Saccharomyces cerevisiae S288C: one gene and its partners. The gene in region 1 interacts genetically with each later gene. Each region holds a gene or a part of one and is shown on either strand. Other genes may lie near its edges.

Region 1 (4,898 bases):
TTGCCAGATCTTCAAGAGAAATGTCACCAAATAAATTATGAAATTAAAGTACAGCGGTAGTGATAAAAACGATCATCAAGTAGTGCCATCCGATATTTCGTGTCAATTTCCAAGCTCATGATTTATGACATACAGGATTTTCAAGAATATTAAATCTTGTTCCTGAGGAATTTTTGATAAATCCAATAAATAGTAAATAATAAGAAAAAAGACAGAACAACAACGTTTTGGTGGGAGAAAGGCCACTTCTCTGACCAGACTAGAGTACTAATATTTACGACAAATATACTGAGACCGTGACCAATGGTAGAAGGTGATTGGCTTGAAAGAAATGCCAACATTAAAGCACATATCACTGCTCTTGATATCAGTAGAGTTGCAAAAAAATTATACTACTAAAATCAGCTCAACGGCAAGAAGTTACTAAGCACAGCAGAAATTCTGGAGCTAAAGAGAATAATATACATACAAGACTGACTGAAAACTCTGTTTTCCACATGCAGTGGACTCAAAATATTCAGTTGAAGAAGCAAGCACAAAATTGGATCAACCCGTCGCGTCGCGGCCGCTGCTGCAGGCGACAAATCCACTGGCAAATTGTACGCGGCCTCGTTACTCCTACTTGAAAACAGAAGTAACAACAACAAATTCAAGTTTCTACGAAATGGGTCTCATGACGACAAGGTGCGCCCCCCTATCTACCTTGTTGTAAGTCTGGGACCTGGGGCTAATTTCTCATCCCCGGAAACAAAAGTATACAACTACGTGGCTAAAAATTTTTTAGTATGCAGCACATAGGATGCCAAGGAGCAATTTTTAACCCTGGCAATCTGAGCTACTGAACGGCCGCCTCAGGACTCATAGTTCTCTATATATAATTTCTCCATGTTTCTCCTTGTGCCTGGTGGAAAATATCAAGTAGTTGCCGCGACATAAAATGAATGCCTCGTAGACACCGCGAAGCCGGAATGAAGGCGGACACTACGGCACCGCCTCAAACCCAACGGCCGAGAGCGAGTTCATCTCCCTCATAGATGCGAACGGCATTGGCACTGACGCCATCATTGTAGAACATATAGACAAGATTAAAATGCGTAATCACATCATGAATGGGAAGTTAGGTGCGGTCCACTACCCTGGGGGCCTCACTGGGGACGTCATCACCCCCAAAGCACCTCAATAAGTCCATAAATAAATATATAAAAATTACTGAATAATAATAAAAAAAATAAATTAGTTCAGTCTAAAGAAATGGAAGCAAAAACCTCAAAAAAAAAATTTTTTTACGAAGACTATGCTTCCAAGACTGACGTCTTAGAGGCATAGTCGAGAAGAAAAGGAATTACTGGCACAGAACGACAAGAAATATCGTGTCGGCGCCAAGGCATCTATGTAACTACGTCTTGTGATCACCGGTATAGCTGGGACTATTCCGTTTCATCATATGATCTGGCCGTCTGCGCTTGTACATTCTGGGCGCCAGGCGTAAATGACCAGAGTAATGTCTTGCTGTAGTCGTCCGTCGCCACAGAAGCGCGTGGACGCATGATCGCGCGCAGCGACCGGTCGGTTCGCAAGACGGTTGGCAATAGGAGTTTCCTGCTGACCGCCTTATTAATTTATATGAAAGAGGAGAATTTGTCATCGGGCTTTCGAATGAAATAAAACAGCTCCTTTAAGTAATGGAACTGGAAGAAGGAAGAGAATAAACGACAGAATTTTCGTGCTCGGAGCGAACACCGCGCCGGGTTACGAACAACAGTGGCCACTACTATAATAGTTATGGAGTAGACGTCAGAATATATAGCGCAGGCGTCAGAGTATAGCGCGGGCGTCAGGATATAGTGTGCCAATGTAGCGTGGTTGCATGCAGCTAGCTTTTTAGTTGAGTCAGACCTGCTCCAAAAAAAGAGGAACACAACTTTCGTCAGCATGTGTTGCTACCGCTATTTGTTCTTCGGGGAAAAAAATTTGCATTCGCTATTGTAGTTTTAATTTTCCTTCTCTATTCTCATAAATAGAGTTAAAATCTTATAAACTCCAGAATTATCAAGAACAATTACCTATATTATTTCCTATTGCAGAATTTATATTATTCTTTATTGTACTGATATCCCCATTATAACTATCAAAAAAAGGACTTCAGCACCTGTATCATCATGAGCTTCAGTAGTATAGTCTCTAAGTTTTTGAGATATTTAGAAATTCCTGCCAAAAATAGGACTGCCGTGAATTTTCTGAGGAACCCTGATTTGCAACCTATCAAGTCTGCAAATCAAACATGGGGGTTCTGGTCTAATTTGGCGTACTGGGGCGCTGTGTCCTTTACAGCAGGTACATGGATGAGTGGTTCTGCTGCACTAAGTGTCGGCCTAAGTTACCCAGAGACCATTGTTTCGTTTCTTCTCGGTAATGTCTTGACCATTATTTTCACTATGGCCAACTCTTACCCCGGTTATGATTGGAAAATCGGTTTCACCTTGGCCCAAAGATTCGTTTTTGGCATTTACGGTTCAGCCTTCGGTATCATCATTAGAATTTTGATGAGTATTGTCAATTATGGTTCCAACGCTTGGTTGGGTGGTCTATCTATCAACATGATATTAGATTCCTGGTCCCACCACTATCTGCACCTGCCCAATACTTTGTCCCCAAGTGTTGCCATGACCACCAAGCAGTTGGTCGGCTTCATTATTTTCCACGTCCTCACCGCGCTCTGCTATTTCATGAAACCCTACCATATGAACTACCTTTTAATTTGGTCATGTGTAGCTACTTGCTTTGCCATGCTGGGTATAGTGATTTACTTGACTAAGAATGCCCATGGTGTCGGTGAATTGTTTACCTCCACAAAATCTACCGTTACTGGTTCTAAAAGAGCATGGGCTTGGGTTTACATGATTTCATACTGGTTCGGTTCCATTTCTCCAGGTTCCACCAACCAAAGTGACTATTCAAGATTCGGTTCCTCCAATTTGGCTATCTGGACCGGTAGCGTCTGTGCATTACTAATCCCAGCAACCTTGGTCCCAATCTTCGGTGTCATTAGTGCCTCCACCTGCGACAAATTATACGGTAAACAATTTTGGATGCCCATGGATATATTCGATTATTGGTTGACAAACAACTATTCTGCAGGCGCTCGCGCAGGTGCCTTCTTCTGTGGTCTTTGCTTTACCATGTCTCAAATGTCCTCCACCATCTCCAACTGTGGGTTTGCCACTGGTATGGATATGGCCGGTTTGTTGCCCAAATACGTCGATATCAAGAGAGGTGCTCTTTTTTGCGCATGTATCTCCTGGGCTTGTTTGCCATGGAACTTCTACAACTCTTCTTCTACTTTCTTAACTGTCATGAGTTCTTTCGGTGTTGTCATGACTCCTATTATTGCTGTCATGATCTGTGATAACTTTCTGATCAGGAAGAGGCAATATTCCATTACTAATGCCTTTATTCTAAAGGGTGAATACTATTTTACCAAGGGTGTCAACTGGAGAGCTATCGTTGCCTGGGTGTGTGGTATGGCTCCCGGTCTACCTGGTATCGCTTGGGAAGTCAACAATAACTATTTCCACGACTCAGGTATTGTTAAATTCTTTTATGGTGATTCTTTCTTCTCCTTTTTGATTTCTTTTTTCGTTTACTGGGGGCTATGTGTCTTCTTCCCATTCAAAATTACTGTTAGACATGATGACAAAGATTACTATGGTGCATTTACCGACGAAGAAGCGAGAAAGAAGGGCATGATTCCATACAGTGAAATTTCTGAGGAAGAAATCCGTGCTTACACGTTAGGCGAATGCTACACAACTGGACACGAATACAAACCTGAGAGTTCTGATAACGAATCACCTGAATTGATCAAAACTAGCTCAGAAAACACTAACGTATTTGAAATCGTTCACCAAAAGGATGATGAAAAGCACTCCTTTAGTACCACTCAACAAGTTGTCTGATGACAAAGAATCCGATAAAATGAAGATCTCAAATATACAAAGAGGAAACTTCAACGCTTCATTTGAAAATCTGTACAGATCTTACAATTTGGGAATACTACCAGATCGATCCTCAGCTGCAAATACTTTACTGTCAAGTATGTCTATGGTGACAAATATCGGCATTATTGTGTATGGCTCAATAATTTTATAAAAAAAGGAACTATTGGTTCTTAGTATTTTCTTGCTAGAAGACATATTCTTACCAATCCTTTCATAAGCTAATTATGCCATCCATATAGCAAGAGAATCCGGTGGGGGCGCCATGCCTATCCGGCGGCAACATTATTACTCTGGTATACGGGCGTAACTCCATAATATGCCACCACTTACCTTTAACATGTTCATGGTAGGTACCCCACCCAGCCATAAGGAAATTTTCAAAGGCGTTGGATCAAAAAATAGGCCTTTATTTCATCGCGTGATTGAGGAGCATAACATGTTTAGTGAAGGTTTCTTTTGGAAAACTTCAGTCGCTCATTATTAGAACCAGGGAGGTCCAGGCTTTGCTGGTGGGAGAGAAAGCTTATGAAGCTGGGGTTGCAGATTTGTCGATTGGTCGCCAGTACACAGTTTTAAAAAGTCAGAGAATGTAGAGAAGTATGGATCTTTGAAACCCTTTTATTTTATTTTACTTTTTTTAGAATGACCTGTTCCCGACACTATGTAAGATCTAGCTTTTAACATATTATGGAAACCTGAAATGTAAAATCTGAATTTTTGTATATGTGTTTATATTTGGGTAGTTCTTTTGAGGAAAGCATGCATAGACTTGCTGTACGAACTTTATGTGACTTGTAGTGACGCTGTTTCATGAGACTTTAGCCCTTTGAACATATTATCATATCTCAGCTTGAAATACTATAGATTTACTTTTGCAGCCATTTCTTGGTGCTCCAAGGT
Region 2 (8,307 bases), on another chromosome or scaffold:
TTTTACAATTTTTTATAATTTTTTTTTATGTTTAGTGTATATTTGCTAGAAAGAAACAAGATCTTTTTTGGTAGTGTAAATGCTTAAACTTTGTCTCTTTTTCCTTTTTACTTTGGAAAAATGCCGACGCAAGAACATAGACATCTGCGAAAACCAAAAATAAAGTACCAATTGTACATACAAAAACAGAGAAAAAGTTCATGAACAGAACGTTACTACGGTATAGCAAGATCTTTGAATACATCCATTACTTCGGATTGTTCACCATACTTCAACACAGGCCAAGATAGACCATAGCTACAGTGATAGACGAATATTTATTTCAAAAGAAGCATCAACCATAAAATAAAAAGAAAAATGATGAAAAAAAAACCAAAGTGCCAAATTGCAAGGACCAAACCATCGGTCGAAAACGTCATACCATATAACCAATTCAAGAAGACGCAGCCGCGATTCAACGGCAACTTTTCTGCACTGAATAATGAAGAATACATAATACTCTTTGGCGGAGGTCGGGACCTGATACTAGGCTCCCTGACACCTTGTTCGAGCTCTCATTTGTCCAATCAAGCCAACCCACAAGACACCAGTGAGTATGGCACAGACCTGTTTATACTCAACAGCTGCATTATCATTTGGTTCAATGGCTTGGGATATGGGCTGGAAATTCCCTACAGCAGCGTTTTGTACCATGCATCAAGACGGCTACCAGATGGTAGGGAAGGGCTTCAATTAGAAATTTTGCTGACTTTGGAAAGAGACGAAGTGTTGGACATGCTCTACCAAAGCCTCGCGCCACAGGCCTGCGAATTCGACGGCGAAGAAGCACATGCCTTCACCGTGCGCAGCGTGGAATTGACTATCAGGCCCAAATATTCAATATACGATCGCCATTATAACAACGAAATCGAAACCCTTTTCACCTTCGAAAACTTCGGCGTGAACAGGGGCGATGACCTGGTAAACAATTGTAACGAAGCACTAGCCGTATGCATGGACCTGCACGGTGAGGACGTACAAGATCAAGACCAGGAACAATACCAAGATCCAAGCATGGCGTTTGAGGGTGCGCAAGATCTCAACGCCACGTATTCTGGGCTTGGAGACACCCTTCACGGGCCGCCCGTGTATCAGAACGACGGGCTGGCAGACGATCTGGATGGCGACCTCGTTATGGACAACGTGGTCTCTAGGGGTGGTCCAGAAGCAAGTATGTCTATGGAGTTCTACGCAAATCAAAATCTTGCTGGCAGAAAGAACTCCAGAGACAATGAATGAACAACATCTATTATGGGAACATCCCGCTGTACTATGCGGTCTCGTCCTCTACGAATATGGCTATTTGCCTTCGTATATACCTTTCTATACCAAGTAATGAATGTCTTGAGGGCCCGTATGGCCGCGCGAAGGCTTAGTTAAGATGTTTCAGCAAACGGCAGCATGTGAAAAAACCCGTAGAAGGTCCGCATCAGCCTTCCATGCCCGTGCACCCACGGCTCCTCGGAGGCCGGGTTATAGCAGCGTCTGCTCCGCATCACGATACACGAGGTGCAGGCACGGTTCACTACTCCCCTGGCCTCCAACAAACGACGGCCAAAAACTTCACATGCCGCCCAGCCAAGCATAATTACGCAACAGCGATCTTTCCGTCGCACAAGTTAAAAGAAATTGTTGAAAAATACAAATAATCGCGAACAATACGTTGTTGCTATTTAACGCTTTTGGTCTGACAGTAAGTGTGCCTTTCCCAATCACCGAAAAGTGTTGAACGATTCACTGCGACAATAATCAGAGATTACAGTCGGCATTTTGGCATTTTTGGCATACTTTTTATCGATTGAACCATCTTCTCCAAACACTTTTCCTTTTTCCTTCTATTCTGCAGGACCAACTAAAACTGGGTATATATATCATTATCTATATATATAAACGGCTTTCAACAAAGTTATAGGGGAAAACTAAAAATATAAGAAAAAAAAAGGTATTGATTGATAAGGAAAAAGAACCAAGGGAAAAATATAAAAAAGTACATTGGGCCTTTTCATACTTGTTATCACTTACATTACAAAGAAGAACAAACAACTTTTTTAAACGAATTTTCTTTCTTCCTTTTTCAATTTATTAATTCTTTTTTTCCATACAATTCAAGGTCAAATATATTCTTATATGCTCTTTGAATATTTCTGAAAAATATATAAAGAAAAGAAACTACAAGAACATCATCCGGAAAATCAGATTATAGACTAGGATTCCGCTCTTTTTAGTATATTTATTCGCCACACCTAACTGCTCTATTATTCGCTCATTATGGACGCTTACTCCACAAGACCATTAACCCTATCTCACGGTTCTTTAGAGCACGTGCTTCTGGTACCAACCGCTTCATTTTTCATTGCTTCGCAATTACAAGAACAATTTAATAAAATTTTGCCCGAACCCACTGAAGGGTTTGCTGCAGATGACGAGCCTACCACACCTGCTGAACTAGTGGGGAAATTCCTTGGCTACGTATCTTCTCTAGTCGAACCTTCCAAGGTCGGTCAATTCGATCAGGTCTTGAACCTTTGCTTAACAGAATTTGAAAACTGTTATTTAGAAGGCAATGACATTCACGCCTTGGCTGCTAAACTATTACAGGAAAACGACACAACTTTAGTGAAGACTAAAGAACTAATTAAAAATTATATTACCGCCAGAATAATGGCTAAGAGACCATTTGACAAAAAATCCAACTCTGCTCTTTTTAGGGCCGTCGGCGAGGGTAACGCACAATTGGTAGCCATTTTCGGTGGTCAAGGTAACACCGACGACTACTTTGAAGAATTGCGTGATCTATATCAAACTTATCATGTCTTAGTGGGAGATTTAATCAAGTTCTCCGCTGAAACTTTAAGTGAACTGATTAGAACTACTTTAGATGCTGAAAAAGTCTTTACTCAAGGTTTAAACATATTGGAATGGTTGGAGAACCCTTCAAATACCCCAGACAAGGACTATTTACTTTCCATTCCAATTTCATGCCCCTTAATTGGTGTCATTCAATTGGCTCACTACGTAGTTACTGCCAAGCTTTTGGGTTTCACTCCAGGTGAGTTAAGATCTTACTTAAAAGGTGCTACAGGTCACTCTCAAGGTTTGGTTACTGCTGTCGCCATAGCTGAGACGGATTCCTGGGAATCCTTCTTCGTCTCCGTAAGAAAAGCAATTACTGTATTATTCTTCATCGGTGTTCGTTGTTACGAAGCATACCCAAACACTTCCCTACCACCATCCATCTTGGAAGATTCCTTGGAAAACAATGAAGGTGTTCCATCTCCAATGTTGTCCATTTCCAATCTAACTCAAGAACAAGTTCAAGACTATGTAAATAAGACTAACTCTCATTTGCCAGCTGGTAAACAAGTTGAAATTTCTCTAGTCAATGGTGCGAAGAATCTAGTCGTATCGGGCCCACCACAATCATTATATGGTTTAAACTTGACTTTAAGAAAGGCCAAGGCCCCATCTGGACTGGATCAATCAAGAATCCCATTCAGCGAAAGAAAATTGAAGTTCTCCAATAGGTTCTTACCTGTTGCATCACCATTCCATTCCCATCTATTGGTTCCAGCTTCAGATTTGATTAACAAAGACTTAGTCAAAAACAATGTCAGCTTTAACGCTAAAGATATTCAAATCCCCGTTTACGACACTTTTGATGGTTCAGATCTAAGAGTCCTTTCAGGTTCCATTTCCGAGAGAATCGTCGACTGCATCATTAGATTACCTGTCAAATGGGAAACTACTACACAATTCAAAGCCACCCACATATTAGACTTTGGTCCAGGTGGAGCTTCCGGTTTAGGTGTTTTAACCCATCGTAATAAAGATGGTACTGGTGTTCGTGTTATCGTTGCCGGTACTCTCGACATTAACCCAGATGATGATTACGGATTCAAGCAAGAAATCTTTGATGTTACTAGTAATGGTTTGAAGAAAAATCCAAACTGGTTGGAAGAATACCATCCAAAATTAATTAAGAACAAATCAGGCAAAATTTTTGTCGAAACAAAATTTTCTAAATTAATCGGTAGACCACCTTTATTGGTTCCTGGTATGACACCATGTACTGTTTCTCCAGATTTCGTAGCTGCTACCACAAATGCTGGTTATACCATTGAGTTGGCCGGTGGTGGTTACTTTTCCGCAGCAGGTATGACCGCCGCTATTGATTCTGTGGTTTCTCAGATAGAAAAGGGTAGTACCTTCGGTATCAACTTGATCTACGTCAATCCATTTATGTTACAATGGGGTATTCCATTAATCAAGGAACTAAGAAGCAAAGGTTATCCAATTCAATTCTTGACCATTGGTGCTGGTGTCCCATCATTGGAAGTTGCTAGTGAATACATAGAGACATTAGGTTTGAAGTACTTGGGTTTGAAACCAGGTTCCATTGATGCTATTTCGCAAGTTATAAACATTGCTAAAGCACATCCAAACTTCCCAATAGCTTTACAATGGACCGGTGGTAGAGGTGGTGGTCATCATTCTTTCGAAGATGCCCACACTCCAATGTTACAAATGTACTCCAAGATTAGAAGACATCCAAACATTATGTTGATATTCGGTTCTGGTTTCGGTTCTGCTGATGACACTTACCCATACTTAACCGGTGAATGGTCCACAAAATTCGATTATCCACCAATGCCATTCGATGGTTTCCTATTTGGTTCGAGGGTCATGATTGCTAAGGAAGTTAAAACTTCTCCTGATGCTAAGAAGTGTATTGCTGCTTGTACTGGTGTTCCTGATGATAAATGGGAACAAACCTACAAGAAGCCAACTGGTGGTATTGTCACTGTTCGCTCTGAAATGGGTGAACCAATTCACAAAATTGCCACTCGTGGTGTTATGCTATGGAAGGAATTCGACGAAACCATCTTCAACTTACCAAAGAATAAGTTGGTACCAACTTTGGAAGCAAAGAGAGATTACATTATCTCAAGATTGAACGCCGATTTCCAAAAACCATGGTTTGCTACCGTCAACGGTCAAGCCCGTGACCTAGCCACAATGACATACGAAGAAGTTGCAAAGAGATTGGTGGAATTAATGTTCATCAGATCTACCAACTCTTGGTTTGATGTCACATGGAGAACCTTTACTGGTGATTTCCTACGTCGTGTCGAAGAACGTTTCACTAAAAGTAAGACATTGTCTTTAATCCAATCCTATTCTCTACTAGACAAGCCTGATGAAGCTATTGAAAAAGTATTTAATGCTTATCCTGCCGCTAGGGAACAGTTCTTGAATGCGCAAGATATTGATCACTTTTTGAGCATGTGTCAAAATCCAATGCAAAAACCAGTGCCTTTTGTTCCAGTTTTGGATCGTAGATTCGAGATTTTTTTCAAAAAAGATTCGTTATGGCAATCTGAGCACTTGGAAGCCGTCGTCGACCAAGACGTTCAAAGAACATGTATCCTACATGGACCTGTTGCAGCACAATTCACTAAAGTCATCGATGAACCAATTAAGAGCATTATGGATGGTATTCACGATGGTCACATCAAAAAGTTACTACATCAATATTACGGTGACGATGAGTCAAAGATTCCAGCAGTTGAGTACTTTGGTGGTGAAAGCCCTGTAGACGTACAAAGTCAAGTTGATTCTTCCTCTGTATCTGAAGACTCAGCTGTTTTTAAGGCAACATCCTCTACTGATGAAGAAAGCTGGTTTAAGGCTTTGGCGGGATCCGAAATTAACTGGAGACATGCAAGTTTCTTATGTTCCTTTATCACTCAAGATAAAATGTTTGTTTCTAACCCAATTAGAAAAGTTTTCAAGCCAAGCCAAGGAATGGTTGTTGAGATTTCCAACGGCAATACTTCTTCAAAGACTGTTGTCACTCTTTCAGAACCTGTTCAAGGTGAATTGAAACCAACTGTTATTTTGAAGTTGTTGAAGGAGAACATAATCCAAATGGAAATGATTGAGAACAGAACTATGGATGGTAAGCCCGTCAGCTTGCCATTGTTGTACAACTTCAACCCAGATAATGGTTTTGCTCCAATCTCTGAAGTTATGGAGGACAGAAACCAAAGAATTAAGGAAATGTACTGGAAATTATGGATTGATGAGCCTTTCAATTTGGACTTTGACCCAAGAGATGTCATTAAGGGCAAAGATTTCGAGATCACCGCTAAAGAAGTTTATGACTTTACACACGCTGTTGGAAACAATTGTGAAGACTTCGTTTCTAGACCTGATAGAACGATGTTGGCCCCAATGGACTTTGCTATTGTTGTCGGATGGAGAGCCATCATCAAGGCCATTTTCCCTAATACGGTCGATGGTGACTTATTGAAGTTGGTTCATTTGTCTAACGGCTACAAGATGATTCCTGGCGCTAAGCCACTGCAAGTTGGTGATGTTGTTTCAACTACTGCTGTTATTGAATCTGTCGTCAACCAACCTACAGGAAAGATTGTCGATGTGGTAGGTACATTATCGAGAAATGGCAAGCCTGTCATGGAAGTCACCTCCTCATTCTTCTACAGAGGCAACTATACTGACTTTGAAAACACTTTCCAAAAGACTGTTGAACCTGTTTATCAAATGCACATCAAAACTTCTAAAGATATAGCTGTCTTGCGCTCTAAGGAGTGGTTCCAATTGGACGATGAAGACTTCGATCTGTTAAACAAAACTTTGACTTTCGAAACTGAAACTGAAGTTACTTTCAAGAATGCTAACATCTTCTCTTCAGTGAAATGTTTTGGCCCAATTAAAGTTGAATTGCCAACCAAAGAAACCGTGGAGATCGGTATTGTCGATTACGAAGCCGGTGCCTCTCACGGTAACCCTGTTGTTGATTTCTTGAAGAGAAACGGTTCCACATTGGAACAAAAGGTCAATCTAGAAAATCCTATTCCAATTGCAGTACTTGATTCGTACACTCCAAGTACCAACGAACCATACGCTAGAGTTTCTGGTGATTTGAATCCAATTCACGTTTCACGTCATTTTGCCTCTTACGCAAACTTGCCAGGTACTATCACGCACGGTATGTTTTCTTCTGCTTCCGTCCGTGCTTTGATTGAAAACTGGGCTGCTGACAGTGTTTCATCCAGGGTACGTGGCTACACTTGTCAATTTGTTGACATGGTTTTGCCTAACACTGCTTTGAAAACATCGATTCAACATGTTGGTATGATCAATGGTAGAAAATTGATAAAGTTTGAAACTAGAAATGAAGATGACGTTGTAGTTTTGACTGGTGAAGCCGAAATTGAACAACCTGTTACTACCTTCGTTTTCACTGGTCAAGGTTCACAAGAACAAGGTATGGGTATGGACTTATACAAAACTTCTAAAGCTGCTCAAGATGTTTGGAATAGAGCTGACAACCATTTCAAGGACACTTATGGTTTCTCTATCTTAGACATTGTCATTAACAACCCAGTTAACTTAACAATTCACTTCGGTGGTGAAAAGGGTAAGAGGATCAGAGAAAACTATTCTGCTATGATCTTTGAGACTATCGTGGATGGAAAATTGAAGACTGAAAAAATTTTCAAGGAAATTAATGAGCACAGTACTTCTTACACATTTAGATCTGAAAAAGGTTTATTGTCTGCTACTCAATTTACACAACCAGCTTTAACTTTGATGGAAAAAGCTGCTTTCGAAGACTTGAAATCTAAAGGTTTGATCCCAGCCGATGCTACTTTTGCTGGTCACTCTTTAGGTGAGTATGCTGCTTTGGCCTCTTTGGCTGATGTTATGTCTATCGAATCTTTAGTTGAAGTTGTGTTCTACAGAGGTATGACTATGCAAGTTGCTGTTCCAAGAGATGAGTTGGGCAGATCCAACTATGGTATGATTGCCATTAACCCAGGTAGAGTCGCTGCATCATTCTCTCAAGAAGCTTTGCAATATGTTGTTGAGAGAGTTGGTAAGAGAACCGGCTGGTTGGTTGAAATCGTCAACTACAACGTTGAAAACCAACAATATGTTGCAGCTGGTGATCTAAGAGCTTTAGACACCGTTACCAATGTTCTAAACTTCATCAAATTACAAAAAATTGATATTATTGAACTACAAAAGTCCTTATCTTTGGAAGAAGTTGAAGGTCATTTGTTTGAGATCATTGACGAAGCTTCCAAGAAATCTGCTGTCAAGCCTCGCCCACTTAAATTGGAGAGAGGTTTTGCTTGTATCCCATTAGTTGGTATTTCTGTTCCTTTCCATTCCACCTACTTGATGAATGGTGTTAAACCATTCAAGAGTTTCTTGAAGAAGAATATCATAAAAGAAAAT
Region 3 (3,230 bases), on another chromosome or scaffold:
AACACAATCCTTAGGGTAGAATCTTTTGTTGGTTGAAGTTAACGTATCGAATAAATAGTAAGTCCCTGTAGCATCTATATGTTCATGTAATATATTATTGTTCTCGTTTGTTTCCAATAATTGTATCTTTTCAACTAGATCCACAATCCTATTCTCAACCTTGTCAATGGTTTCTCCGAGTTTTAATAATTTTTCAGCTAGCATCTGAATATCATCAGTCTCAGAAAGTTTTTCCTCTTCTGCCTTTAAACCATTTAGTATGGTTTTAAACCTATTTAAGTTTCTTTGATATTGTTTCACCTGTTCATCTTTAATAGAAACTTTTCTTAATGATGATGGCGTCTGTCTGACAGTATCATTTGTTTTGACTTTCGATTGAATCCGCGCAGAAATGTTGTCGTCAATAACATTTCTTGTTTCATCCCTCACTGGGGTCGCCATGTTGATAATTAGAGGTAAAAAATTAGTATTAATGAAGAAGTGAGTACTGATCTTCTTATACTAAATAAGAGAGGTATATAAAACACACGCCGATTGGTCATATTAATCATGACCAATATAATAGTGGTTCCGGTAGTTACTATACATTGATGTGACGACTCATATTCCTCATATATGTACCTACCATATCATGTTCAACTAATAGGTCTTTAACACAGCTTCAGTATTGTCTGAGCTTCTCGTTTAACATTCCTTCTGCAATAGGCGCAATCACACTTAAACGTATACGAGTTGTACATTAATATACGATGTAAGCATTAGATTGTTACCATAGCAACTCATGTCACTATTAATTACTCTCGTTCCAACAATCAAAGAATATTAAATGAACTTCAAATATTAAGTAATTCTCCTTGTTCTGCTTCTACGGCTCTAATCCATATTAGCATACCCGATTAATATAATTGCCTGCGATCGAATACCCAATGTACTGGATTTTGTTGGAACAAGTGATTTATCACAGTTCACACTGTCGTGAAGTAATTTGACGGTATATATCATATATAAACAATATTCAATGGTGAAATCAGCAGTTTGCGTTGAATTAAGAACATATACTACTTGAACATAAACTGGGGTTCATGTAAATGGAAAATATGAGCCATCGCATTGAGCATATGGCAGTCATAAGCAGTTTTGATTCTGCTTAAGATTCAATTAAAAGTAATTGAAAGAGTAAAATGTTTTATAGTTCAGTTAGTAACTTCGAGCAAGCTAGTGCTTGCCATTTAGGCCATTGAATAATTCAGTACGAGTATATGCTTATTATTATGGATAATTGATGCACTAGAACACAAGGAGAACGAGTATTTTAACAAATTGAGCTATTACAAAAGGAATACTTAGATACGGCATTATCTGACTTAAGGCTTCTTCATTAGTGATTGATTAAAAGAAAAAATAGAATGCAAAAGCTAAAGGAATTAAGCGAAACTAGGTTCCAGTAACACTTAATTTAGTAGCCTTATCAATATTAAGAAAGGATGGTAACCTCTAATATATCACTGCCATGTAATGAACTTCTATATTTTAGGGATTTAGGAGGGTTCTGATCTGAATCACTTATGTGTTTTATATTTTCTACATACAGCGCGACTGCTGTTTTCTATCCATAATTATTTTAAGCATGCGCTATCGTTTCTACCTAATGACAAATTGTGGTAACAGCCAGATTTATCTCAATATACATTAGTAGTCAATATCTCAAACGACATCGAATGCCGCACATAGCCATTTATTATAACAGATGAGAACCACATCACTTTTTATTACAAGGTGTCCATTATGACGACTGTAGAAGTATGCAAATCATAAGTTAGCCCAAAGAAGACATTTAGATTTTCTTACGACAATACTAATTAAGGTACCACGAACAAAGAGAGAACAGTAGGTATGTTGTATTGCTACGCCAACTTTTCTTGTGATCAAAAAGTTCAATGCATTCATTCTTCTTTATAATATAGTACAAACTGTTAATTTACTACATACGGAATCATGAGATTCTAAATTTAGTATACAGAGCTTAATTTATTCAATAAAGCATAACTAGTGCCGTAAAGAGTCTAAACCGGTATTTGGCACTGATCTGAGCTTATTGGAAAAACGTTACCCGACCAAAATAAATCACTTCTAGGAAGTAAAGGTATAAAGTATTGATGACAAATGCGTTCTAGTCCCAAAGGGACAAGAAGTTGTATTACTCTTTTCACATATATCAAGGCCACAAAGGTATCTGTTTACTTTTTGACTTTAGCAAAAATTTGAGGAAATCAGACAATGTTTCTCCCAAAATTCAATCCCATAAGGTCATTTTCCCCCATCCTCCGGGCTAAGACTCTTCTTCGTTACCAAAATCGGATGTATTTGAGCACAGAGATAAGAAAAGCTATTGAAGATGCCATCGAATCGGCTCCAGTGGTTCTTTTCATGAAAGGTACTCCTGAATTTCCCAAGTGTGGATTTTCAAGAGCAACCATTGGATTATTAGGAAATCAAGGCGTTGACCCGGCCAAATTTGCGGCTTATAATGTTTTAGAAGACCCAGAGCTACGTGAAGGTATCAAAGAGTTTTCAGAATGGCCAACTATTCCACAGTTATATGTAAACAAAGAATTCATTGGTGGATGTGATGTTATTACAAGTATGGCACGCTCTGGTGAATTGGCCGATTTGCTAGAAGAGGCACAGGCATTGGTACCTGAAGAAGAAGAAGAAACCAAAGATCGTTGATTTTGTTACCACTGGAAGCAAAATAGGAACTGGTGGCCGAACACTTTAATACTCGTGTGCATAATAGGCCTTTACGATCCATATTTATATATGCATGTACATTTGCTATTTTTTTAAAGATTTGTAATGTATTCTCATGCCTTTAGACTTGTAAATAACAGATTCTCTACTTACAAACCCCTCTCTTTGCTTTGCCAAATGAATTGACGTTATAAAACAAAGAAGTGAGAATTATGAATATATTTAATATTCCCCGCATAGACTTGAATCAAAAAACGTTAGTTTTAGAATGACAGAAGCCATATCTTCGTTCTGATTCAACGTGCGAAAGACGCGACAGACATTTGTTGGGGTTGTCTTTGTTACTCTCTTGATTTTCGATAGATTCCGTACTGTTACCAGTTTGCTTTTCCCCCATTTTTTTTAACGTAAAAGGATTGGAAGATAATAGGCGAGCTCAATTTTATTGCCCTGCGAAGCTTTCAAATATGTTAGTCAAA

Evidence for each region. A genetic interaction does not mean that the proteins touch.
Region 2: mutations in NRT1 (region 1) and FAS1 together harm fitness more than expected from each alone (negative genetic interaction), as found in Saccharomyces cerevisiae (one large-scale study listed by BioGRID).
Region 3: mutations in NRT1 (region 1) and GRX5 together harm fitness less than expected from each alone (positive genetic interaction), as found in Saccharomyces cerevisiae (one large-scale study listed by BioGRID).

Annotation. Positions count from the first base shown.
Region 1 is NC_001147.6:458,538-463,435, reverse strand, and holds NRT1 (nicotinamide riboside transporter), read left to right. Parts: upstream 1-2,159; coding exon 2,160-3,956; downstream 3,957-4,898. Other genes in the region: YOR072W (uncharacterized protein), read right to left, coding at 1,620-1,934. UniProt on the Saccharomyces cerevisiae protein: High-affinity pH-dependent nicotinamide riboside transporter which also transports thiamine with low affinity. Involved in 5-fluorocytosine sensitivity.
Region 2 is NC_001143.9:98,364-106,670, forward strand, and holds the start of FAS1 (tetrafunctional fatty acid synthase subunit FAS1), read left to right. Parts: upstream 1-2,307; coding exon 2,308-8,307. Other genes in the region: YKL183C-A (uncharacterized protein), read right to left, coding at 32-244; LOT5 (Lot5p), read left to right, coding at 358-1,278. UniProt on the Saccharomyces cerevisiae protein: Fatty acid synthetase catalyzes the formation of long-chain fatty acids from acetyl-CoA, malonyl-CoA and NADPH.
Region 3 is NC_001148.4:442,302-445,531, forward strand, and holds GRX5 (monothiol glutaredoxin GRX5), read left to right. Parts: upstream 1-2,277; coding exon 2,278-2,730; downstream 2,731-3,230. UniProt on the Saccharomyces cerevisiae protein: Monothiol glutaredoxin involved in mitochondrial iron-sulfur (Fe/S) cluster transfer. Receives 2Fe/2S clusters from scaffold protein ISU1 and mediates their transfer to apoproteins, to the 4Fe/FS cluster biosynthesis machinery, or export from mitochondrion.